2 linked regions of the Rattus norvegicus genome follow. The protein of the gene in region 2 binds, or shares a complex with, the protein of the main gene of each other region. Links are inferred from orthologs where the notes say so. Each region holds a gene or a part of one and is shown on either strand. Other genes may lie near its edges.

Region 1 (4,772 bases), on a different chromosome or scaffold from region 2:
GGCTAGTCCTCCCCACCCCGGCAGGGTCGGGGGCAGCCCCGCCCGCGGTGCAGCAGGGCTGGTCCCTGCCTTCCTTCTTCAAGGCAGACTGGGAAGTGGCCGGTCTCCAAATGCCAGTTCTTTATTTCTGTGCTGTCTGTACACCCCAAAGACTCTCGGTTTCATTTCCCACCCGGGCCCAGCCAGGGCAGCCCTCCTGGCTGGATCCCAGGTTAGAGGAAATGCTGTACCCCAGTTAGACAGAAGTTGGAAGCTCTCACTTGCTTCTGCCTAGGGTTGGCATTACAGGGTTACTTAGCTACATAGGGGGGTAGAGGCCATCCCCTTAATGGGGCCAAAGTCCTTCTCTACTATGTCTGCTAGGTTCTCAAATTCGGCCACCCATCTAACTGCTCTGACTCTGTACAAAGGCTGAGACACCCATAGCTGGCTCATGGAGCCACACCCAGCCTGGTGGAAGTTGTCGGGACAGTGGATTGCAGGTGCTGGGGGGAAGGGAGCCTCTAACTGCCTCCCTAAGGAGTCAGAGACCTGGCGAATCCGGAGCCTTCCAAAGATAGTTTAAAGTGGAGGGTAGTGTAGGGGCATTAAGGCATTCAAAGGTGGGACTTCGGTGAACTGGTATCTCCACCCTGCCAGGCATGCCTGCCAATCCAGAGCAAGGGCCCTTCAGGCTCAGGCTGCCCAACAGTACAGAGCAAGGGCCCTTCAGGCTCAGGCTGCCCAACAGTACCTCCAGCTGTGAAGGCAGCCAAGGCCCTACACTGCCCTCTGGTGGCACCTCCCTATGCAGACTTCCCCACCACTGGTGCTCTGGCCTTTCAGCTACTCCCCCAGCAGGAAGGCACAGAGCTGGAGGTGGCAAAGGACAGGGTGGGAAGGCATAGGTTCAAGCAGGCTTCCCCCAGAGGAATCACACACAGAAAGGCTCAGAGCCGAGAGAATGGCTCCAAATCATCTTTTATTTATATAAAAAGGGCATATTTAGTAAAAGACACACCAAAAAAAGAGTCAGCTGTGGCCCCAGAGATGAGGCAGGGAGGCCTTCTGCACCCCTGTTGGAGAGGGAGGAGGCGGCCTGGACTAAGAGTTAAGGAGTAAGTGCCATGTGGTGGGACCACAGAGAGGAAGCTCCAGTTAGATCAGCACTGTGATCAGGTCACAGATGGGACTCACGGTGGCCTCTCAGCACTCCTGCAGAGGGAGAGACCAGTCTGTACAGCCAACTGGATGAAGATCTGCTACCTGGTTCCTGAAAGGTGCCCACCAAGGAACACAGGACAGGAAGCCCAGGATAGGAAGCAACTTGGGGCAAAGGCCAGGGAGAAGCAGGTGCTCTGCAGTGGCCGGAAAGGTCCCGACGGAGAGGTCAAGGTGCTTCCTGTTACGTGCGGGCATTGCGTTCTGTCTCTGCCAAGCACTCTCTGACTAGTGCCCGAGCATGGATGATACCTGGGGTGGGGCGGGGTAGGATGGGGACGTAAGAAGCAGGGCCTCAGAAACCTCCCACAGTCACCCTGCAGAGCAGACACTTCCCGCCCTTCACGGTTCAGCAAGATCACCCCTAATCTAGTGTGGCTGGATGAGATTAAGGGTTTGGCTAATTCTCACATTCACCCTGAGTTCCCGAGCACCTTCTTGAACACTGACTCAAGTTCATTTCAAACACCTTCCTGGACAGGTTCTGTTCTAATCTAGGCTGGCCCAAATGTCCTGAACTGACTCTAGATATCCTCCATCCTTACTGAAATGTCTTAATATTCATAATTCTTAATGTCTGTGTCCTGGGCAGAACAAGGGTGGGCTTTGGCTTCACTACCTCTCTTCAGGCGCTCCATGGCACTCTTGCTACCAGCATAGGTGGGTCGGATCTCTTTGCCCATCTCCTCTATGACAGACAGCAGGTCCGTGTAGGTGCTCTGAGAGCCCTGGGAACCGGGTGGCTTCATTGCCTGTGTCAAAAGAAAATACAGTTGTGACCTCAGACCCCGAGGGCATCTCCTGTCCTTATCCATAAGCAAGCTCTTAGCCACACTCACCTGTACATACCCCATGGACGGCGGTCCAAAGTCGTTAAACAGTGGTCTGAAAGGAGCTGCAGCTCCTGGCACTGAGCCCGATGGCGATGGGACACTTCCGGCTGCAACGACACGAGTAAGAGGTTAGAGTGTGACAAGGACCTCCTTACAGATTTCCAAGCCCAGGACCGTTTTCCTGACCACCTCCAAAGGCATGCTTCTTCATTCCACTCTGAACAACTTCAGAGACACACTCCTCCCCCTTGCGCTCCACCTACAATCTCTACGTGACCACGCCCACTTCTCAGGCTAGCAAACTGAGGCTGAGCCAGGCTCGCCTAGCAGGCCCTGTATTGCAAAACTCGAGCCGTTTCTCTACAAGACCTCGACTGCCCGAATAAGACGAGCAACGGTGGAGTTGGCGCCTCACCTGTAGGGACCGGGGTGCCTGGCCCGGGGGTGCTGGAGCCGGGGGTACTGCTGGGGGCGGGCGCGATAGGTTTGTAGGACATCCCAACTCCTTAGTGCGGCGGCCGCCAGCCGGCCGCTCCTCTGGGGTTGGCTGTCCGGCAGCTCAGCCGCACTCTGATTGGCAAGCGATCTGCACGCCCCTGGTAAATAGAGCTCCGGCCGGAAGGGCGGGCGGGCACGACCGTTCCTCACTCTCGATTGGTGTGCTCAGCTGTCACTCGAGCCTCCTCATTGGCTGAATCTTGCCCCTGCAGGCCGCAACCGCTTCCGATTGGCCTCCACCTTCCGGACCTCGCACCTGTCTGCCCCGGATTGGGCGGTGACCGCCGTCCTCCTCAATTGGCGAGTTCGGGGCCCGGGGCCGGCGCGCTTTCAATCCGATTAGTCCCGAGGTCCGAGAGGCGGGGCCTCCGCAGCGGGCCAGTCTGGTCCCCGCGGTTTGCTCCGGTAGTGTGTGGCCGGCCGCCGAACACACTTAGTTCTCACCGCCTCGTGACTTCCCTCACAAGGCCACGGCTCCCCCAGTATGAACCCTCCGCCCTACCCGGAGCGTTTTACGTCACCTTTAACCGGTTCGGTGCCCCCCCTTCGCCTCTGCGCACGCGCGCGCCTCAGGCCTGTATTTGTTCCCATGGCAACGGTTCCTTCACCAAAGGTTTTACCAAGCTCTTTCTCTAGGTTGGTTTACACCTTATGTCTAGTAGGCAGGTGGGTACAAGGCAGCTGACGACACTGCTCAAGGCCTGAACCCTAAGTCTCCCACCTTCTCCACTGAAGGACTGCGTTAGGTCAAGTCAGGACCCGGGTCAAGATCTTGGCTAAAATCTCAGCACCTCATTGATGGTTTCCTCCTGGGTTCTCCTTTTGGCGGGTTGGATGGGATTGAGACAAGGTCTCAAGTAGTCCTGTCAGAACGCGAACTCCCTGTGTAGTCAAGGATGACCTTGAACTCCTGATGCTCTGTCTCCCAAATGCTAAGGATTACAGGCACTCGCCACAGATTCTTGTCTTAATATGCTTCAGTTTCCTCGTATGAAACATGAGGATAATAATACCTGGACGATAAACTAGGAAGTGGGCAGAGAAATAGAGAAGAGAGTCGGCCCTATATGGGTGGAAGCACAGTTGATTATTGTTCTGACTTCATTAATGAAACTCCTACCTGGGTCTGGCCATCTCATTCCTATTTCCTTGAAATCAATTCACTTTAAAATTAAAAAAAAAGATCTATTTTGTGTATATGCCTGCATCTATGTCTTCAGAATTGCTGAGCCATGCCTTTAGCTCCAACTCTCTTTTTAAAAAAAGCAGAAAAAAGTGGCTGCAGAGATGGCTTAGCAGGAAAGAAGGCAGGCTGCTCTTCTAGAGGACCCAGGTTAGAATTCGCAGCATTTACACAGTGCCTCAGAACCATTTGTAACTGCATTTCCAGTGGGCCCAATATCCTTTTCTGTTCTTAGTGGACATTAAGCAAACATGTGGTACACAAACATACAGTCTGGGAAAACACCCTAGACATATATATATATTTTTTTTTCTGAGAGAGGGTCTCACTATCTAGCTCTGGTTAACCTGAAACTCAATATATAGACCAGGCTGGCCTTAAACTCACCGAGATCCTCTTCTGCTTCCTAAGTGCTTTGATTAAAGGCATGTACCACCACTCTCAACTAAATAAATCTCCCTTTTTAAGACTATTGAAAAACAAAAGGCCAAAAAGATGCCTCAGCGGTTAAGAGTGCTGACTATTGGGCTGGGGATTTAGCTCAGTGGTAGAGCGCTTACCTAGGAAGCGCAAGGCCCTGGGTTCGGTCCCCAGCTCCGAAAAAAAGAACCAAAAAAAAAAAAAAAAAAAAAGAGTGCTGACTGTTCTTCCAAAAGTTTTGAGTTCAATTCCCAGCAACCACATTGTGGCTCACAACCATCTTTAATGGGATCCAGTGCCCTCTTCTGGTGTATCTGAAGACAGCAACAGTGTACTCAAATACATAAAATAAATCTTAAACACCAAAGCCAAACAATAAAAAATTCCTTAAATTAAAAACAAAACCCTGACTTTTAGTCATGCCTCTTTAGAATTCTGTAGTGAGTAATTAAAATATCGACTGGGGATGGTGGTGAGAGTTTATAACATCAACTGAGGCTGGAGGATCATGAAGTCAGTGCCGGTTTCTTCCCCCAAAAAATAAAAGTTCTGGTCAGGTCACCCAAGATAACCCCCACGTGTGTCAACGAGACTTCACTGAGGGAAAGGCTCCAGTGGGTGGGTAGGAGTGTGTGAAG
Region 2 (5,210 bases):
TCCTGGGAAGTGTAAAAGTGATCTGTGACACAGAGGGAGAGTCCTAGTGTCCTGTCTGTCCATCCTGAGAGGCTGGGCAGACCTGGCTTTGCTCAGGAACGAGTGAAGGAAAGGTTTTCTTTGGGGTGTCCCCACAATTTGTACAGCATGAGAAGAAAGCTTTAGCAAAGGCTCTTGCAACCCTTACGAACTGTCGAACTGTCTCGGGGCAGCCTGGTGACTGCAGCCATCTCAAGAGATCTTGTCTTGTACCGAGGACACTCAAACTGCTACAGATCATATGGTTCCCCAAAGGTTCTAAGACGGGGAAATCCCTCCTGGTGACAGCTTTGGACACTAGAAACTGTTGCTCTATATGGCTCAACTGGTCAGCTCAGTCCTGTGCTCCTACCCTCTCAGAGCACCCAGGACCTGCTCCTGCTGGCAGCAGTGAGGTCCACTCCCTCAGCGTGTGGACAGAAGCAGGACACGAGGATGACCCACACTCTACAGGACTGGAGAACTGGCAACCTCCTGCTAGCTCAGGCCCCCACAACTTCTGTGCTCTTAAAGTTGCTGTGAGGCTGCACCCCGTTGAAAGCTCTCATTTAAAATTCTAGTCTTGTTCCCCAGGGCTCCAGCAAAGGCATCAGCATCGAGCTTCACCTTTAACAAGCCGGGCTGGCAGCCGCCAACCCTTCCGCTAGGCGACAGGTGTCCTGAGTGGCAGTCCAGGGCACAGACCATACAGAGCCCCAGGGAACTGGATGTGTTTGAGCTGGACACAGCCCAGTTCTGAAAAGAGAGCATGTGGGGGGTGAGAAGCCACGGAATTTTCTGGATAAATCGTACCCACTGTCACCAGAGTGACCCTTAAGTGTGAGCCACATTTTCTTGGACTTCTCTTCTGAAAGGGGTTTAAAAACGTGATAGCCTGAATCCGAGGTGGGGTGAGTCCGCTTCGGAAAAGTGGGGCAGTTTATGGCTCACCACCCATCCGGCCTCTCGGGCCCAAGTCCCTTCGCGGGCAGGGTGGCAACAGCTGGCTGGCCCTGCCTGGGGTGTGCTCGGGGATCACCGCCTGGACTCCCCCTGCGCCCTTGCCATCGAGCCCCCGCAGCCAGCTCTGCTGTCGTGTCTTGGGTCCGGCGGGCACCTGGACGGCTCCCGGCACCCGCCCCTCACCGCGCGCTCACCCAGCTGCCCAAGACTAGTCCCCCCAACTTGTTCTCCGCTGTTAACTAGTCGCGCTGGCGGAACGATGGGATGGGGTTGCCACAGCAACCAGACTGGACGTCACAATCCGGGCATGTGTGCCGCCCCCCCGCCGTGCCGCCGTGCCGCGGGCGCTGCCGCCGCCACCCTCGGCCGGCTGCGGGACTCGCGCTGCGGGGCGCGGTGGGCGGAGCGGCCCGGGCTTGGCGGGTGCGGGCAGAGGCGGCCGAGAGCTTGCGGGGTCGACACGGGGGGGTGGAGGTTTGGGGGGCGGGGGGGGCCGGCGGCCGCCATCTTCTCGCCGAGACCGCCTCGCCCGCCGCGCGGGTCCGTCCGGCAGCGCACGGGTTAAGGCTGGCACCGCGCCCGGCGGGAGGGGGGCGCCCACCTCCCCTCCCCCCCGCGCCGGGCATGCGGGGCCCGCTGGGCACCGAGGAGGAGCTGCCGCGGCTGTTCGCGGAGGAGATGGAGAACGAGGAGGAGATGTCAGGTGAGGGGGCGCGGGACCTGCGGGCCCGGGACGCGGGAGGGGCGCGGGGCTGCGGGCTGCGCTCCCGCCCTGCTGGCGCCGCGCTGGCCAAGGGCGCAGGGCCGGGCGAGCTCCGGGGCGCGGCGCGCGGGGCGGGGTGCGCCGAGGACCCCCGGGCGAAGCCGTGGCGGGGGCCTGCGCCGGCTGCCGAGCGGGAGGGGGCGCGGCGAGCCGGGGTCAGCCCGCGTGCCCTTGAAGGCGGCGGGAAGCGCGCGCCGCGGGCGGGGCGAGGACGGGCGGCGCGTGGGGAGCTGGCGATGCCCAAGCCTGGGCGCGCGGGCTCCGCTACCGGCGCCTGACAGTCGCTCCCCAGCACTTTGCCCGGGCCGCCCTGGGTGCTAGGCACGCTGGTGCCCGCCGGGTTCCCAGCCCACCCTGCTTCCTTGCCTGTGGGCCTGACGCCCCAGGGCCACCGCCCCTGCCCTTGCCAGCTGCCTCTCTGAATTCAGCCTCCTTCGTGTTTGTGCCTCAGGGGTTACCTTGCAGGATTTTTCAGTTAACTGGCTCCCGTCCTGGCAGGGCCTCACCCTGTCAGCTGCCCTCCCTCCCTTCTGAGGGGCATCACTTCTCAGCTTCTCAAGTCCATGGCTCCTCCTGGACTTCTGAGGTACTTGTGAGAGGTTAGAAGGGCCCCCTTCTCCCAGGAATCTCCATCCCTGAGGATGAGACTATTTAACACACTCACACCCCAGTTCCTATTCTGCAGGAGAGCGCACTACCTCCCAGGCTAGCATCTTCACCAAGGGCCACACCCCCTGCCCCCAGTCTCCTCCTCAGCTGGCTAGCTAGTTGGTTTAGTGGATTTGATGCTGTCACTGGGGCCTGCTGCTCAACCCCTCCCCTTTCATCCAGGCCGAGAGCCTTCCATGGGGTGAGGTGTGCAGGGGCATGGTTTCCTGTGGCTGACTGCTCCGAAGCAGCCAGACCCTCTGTCTCCGAGAGGAAGGCAGAAGGCCAAGCACATGAGAAACCTGTGGCTGTTTTCTACTTGGGAGCCTGATCTTCAAAGATCCCTGGTGGTGATTGGGGCGTGGCCTTTTGTGGCATTGGCAGGGGCCATGGACAACTGACTTTGGATCATCAGACCCGTTCCTGGGTCTTCAGTTACCCCAACTGTGTTCACCTCCTCCTTGCTGCCTGGTCTTGCTTGCATCAGGGTGTAGGGCTTGGTGAGGTCTTGGATGCCCCCAGAGAAGTGGACACGGTCCTGTCTTATTCCAAATCTCCAGAGTAGGTAGGGAGTTGTCCCTTGGGGCCTTCAGGAGTACTTCCAAGGCCATACAGAGGAGGAGACACTTGTTCCTGTCACTCTAGTCGGGAATTCAGGGCCCTGTCTACCAACCACTCCAACTGCTTTGCCCCCAGAGCCTGCCAGGATTCAGCACCTTGCCAGGCCTCTGGCCTAAGTTTCCTTCCCCCGCCCATAGGCTCCCTCCAGAACTTTCCAGTGGTCAATGACCTTCCTTCCTTAGACCCAGACCATTGGTCCACCTGGTCTTCCCATTGCTGCTTCTCCTCACACAGCCTCAATGGGCTCCAACTCCTGATGCCTGATAGTATTGCTATGAAACCCTGCAGGCACCATCTTGTCCTGGGGCCCTGGCTTTAGCCTAACCTTTACCGGGCTCCTGTCCTTTGCTTGCAAGTTTGTTCTGTCCACCTAGGTTCCAGCTGCATTGCATTATGGGACACCCTCTTTCTTCTTCCGGGGTTATTTGCTTGTAGCTTGTTCTGTTCTCTGAACCTTCTGTCAGCCTCCCCTCCCCCCCCAAGTAGAGTTCCTAATTGCAATCTGGACAGAGGATACCTGAGAGATTGTGAGAAGGGGTCTCTAGGTCACCCCTGGCTCCCTGGATGTGGGGACATCCTATCCCAGTCATGTCTGTTGGCAGTGTTGTCTGCCTCTCATGGCCTTCTGCAGTGTTGGGTGGAGTTCCAGGAAAGTGACCTCTTAGCCCCCTGGAGCCAGGTGGGAGGAACCAGTGTTCTGGGAGCCTCACTCAATCGTCAGAGGTTGGACTTGGGTTTGTTGGAGTCTGCGCAGTGTGTTTCCTACACAGTGCTTTGCTTTGGTCAGTTCTCTAGTTCTGTGGAGGGTGGGTGGGCCTGCTATGAGGAGGAGCGTCAGATAGGCTCCAACCTCTTCTGGCTTGGAGGTGTGCAGCTGCCAGATTCCCGGAGGAGTGTGCTGGTCAAAGGGAGGACTTAAGAGTTTGATGGATGGGGCTGGAGAGATGGCTCAGTGGTTAAGAGCACTGACTGTTCTTCCAGAGGTTCTGAGTTCAATTCCCAGCAACCACATGGTGACTCACAACCATCTGTAATGGGATCCGATGCCCTCTTCTGGTGTGTCTGAAGAGAGCAACAGTGTACTCATATCTATTAAATAAATAATCATTTTAAGAAAGAGTTGGATGGACGGAGGAAGCCTTAAGTTGCAGCAATGTTCTGGATAGTCCTGGGGTGTTGGGAAGTCCCTCAGTCCCTCTGCCTCAGTGTCCCCCACTTGTAGAATGAGTCTGGCACCAGCTACCTCATAGAAGGTTATTATGAGGTCTCGTAAGAGAGTACACGTAGAACGTCCAGGTCACAGTGCCCAACACGTCACAGCTGACCATGGCAGGTGCGACTAGCATCTAAAGGGGGAGCTGGCTCCCTAAGGACATGCTCCTGAGACTTGAACTCTTATCCAGTAAGTGCTGGTCAGGGGACGTGGCTGGGGAGGGACTGCCTGAGGAGGGGCTGAAGGCAGAGAGGAAAGGGCTTTTCCTCAGGGGTGTGCTCTGCTGGGCTGGAGGTCTCCACGGTTAATTGGAGAAACCATCAAACTGATGAGCCCAGCCTGTCTTCTTGCTGGTCCTGGGGAGACAGGTCCTTGTCTCTGTCCTACAGACCTCCCTGTGTGAGTGTTTCAGGTTCCTTGGGGTCAGAGGTGAGGATCTGACTCACCATGACTCGAAAAGGCCTGCACTTCTTCTTCTTCTTCTTTTTTTTTTTTTTTGGTTCTTTTTTTCGGAGCTGGGGACCGAACCCAGGGCCTTGCGCTTCCTAGGTAAGCGCTCTACCACTGAGCTAAATCCCCAGCCCCAAGGCCTGCACTTCTAAGCTGGCCCTCCATTTAGGGTAGGGATGTTCCAGGGAGCTTGACTCTTTCAACACCCACCCAAGCATCAAATTATCAACCTACAATACCAACCACTTAGCCATCCTGCCACCTATCCATCCACCCATGCACCCACGCATCCATCCACCCACCCATCCATCTATCTATCCATCCATCCATCCATCTATCCATCCATCCATCCACCCACCCATCCATCCACCCATCCATCCATCCATCCACCCACACATCCATCCATCCATCCATCCATCCACCCACACATCCATCCATCCACCCATCCATCCACCCATCCATCCATCCATCCACCCACACATCCATCCATCCACCCATCCATCCACCCATCCATCCATCCATCCACCCACACAT

The links.
Region 1: Chd5 (region 2) and Cdk2ap2 share a complex: the UniProt entries of both Homo sapiens proteins name them as parts of the nucleosome remodeling and deacetylase (NuRD) repressor complex. The link is inferred for Rattus norvegicus from reciprocal best matches to the Homo sapiens genes CHD5 and CDK2AP2.

What each region holds. Positions count from the first base shown.
Region 1 is NC_086019.1:210,818,770-210,823,541, reverse strand, and holds Cdk2ap2 (cyclin-dependent kinase 2-associated protein 2), read right to left. Parts: upstream 2,607-4,772; 5' UTR 2,531-2,606; coding exon 2,449-2,530; intron 2,141-2,448; coding exon 2,040-2,140; intron 1,953-2,039; coding exon 1,820-1,952; intron 1,453-1,819; coding exon 1,385-1,452; 3' UTR 1,195-1,384; coding exon of another isoform or gene 1,160-1,194; 3' UTR 938-1,159; downstream 1-937. UniProt on the Homo sapiens protein: Acts as a component of the histone deacetylase NuRD complex which participates in the remodeling of chromatin.
Region 2 is NC_086023.1:168,129,529-168,134,738, forward strand, and holds the start of Chd5 (chromodomain-helicase-DNA-binding protein 5), read left to right. Parts: upstream 1-1,583; 5' UTR 1,584-1,605; coding exon 1,606-1,684; intron 1,685-4,267; exon of another isoform or gene 4,268-4,387; coding exon of another isoform or gene 4,388-4,415; intron 4,416-5,210. UniProt on the Homo sapiens protein: ATP-dependent chromatin-remodeling factor that binds DNA through histones and regulates gene transcription. May specifically recognize and bind trimethylated 'Lys-27' (H3K27me3) and non-methylated 'Lys-4' of histone H3.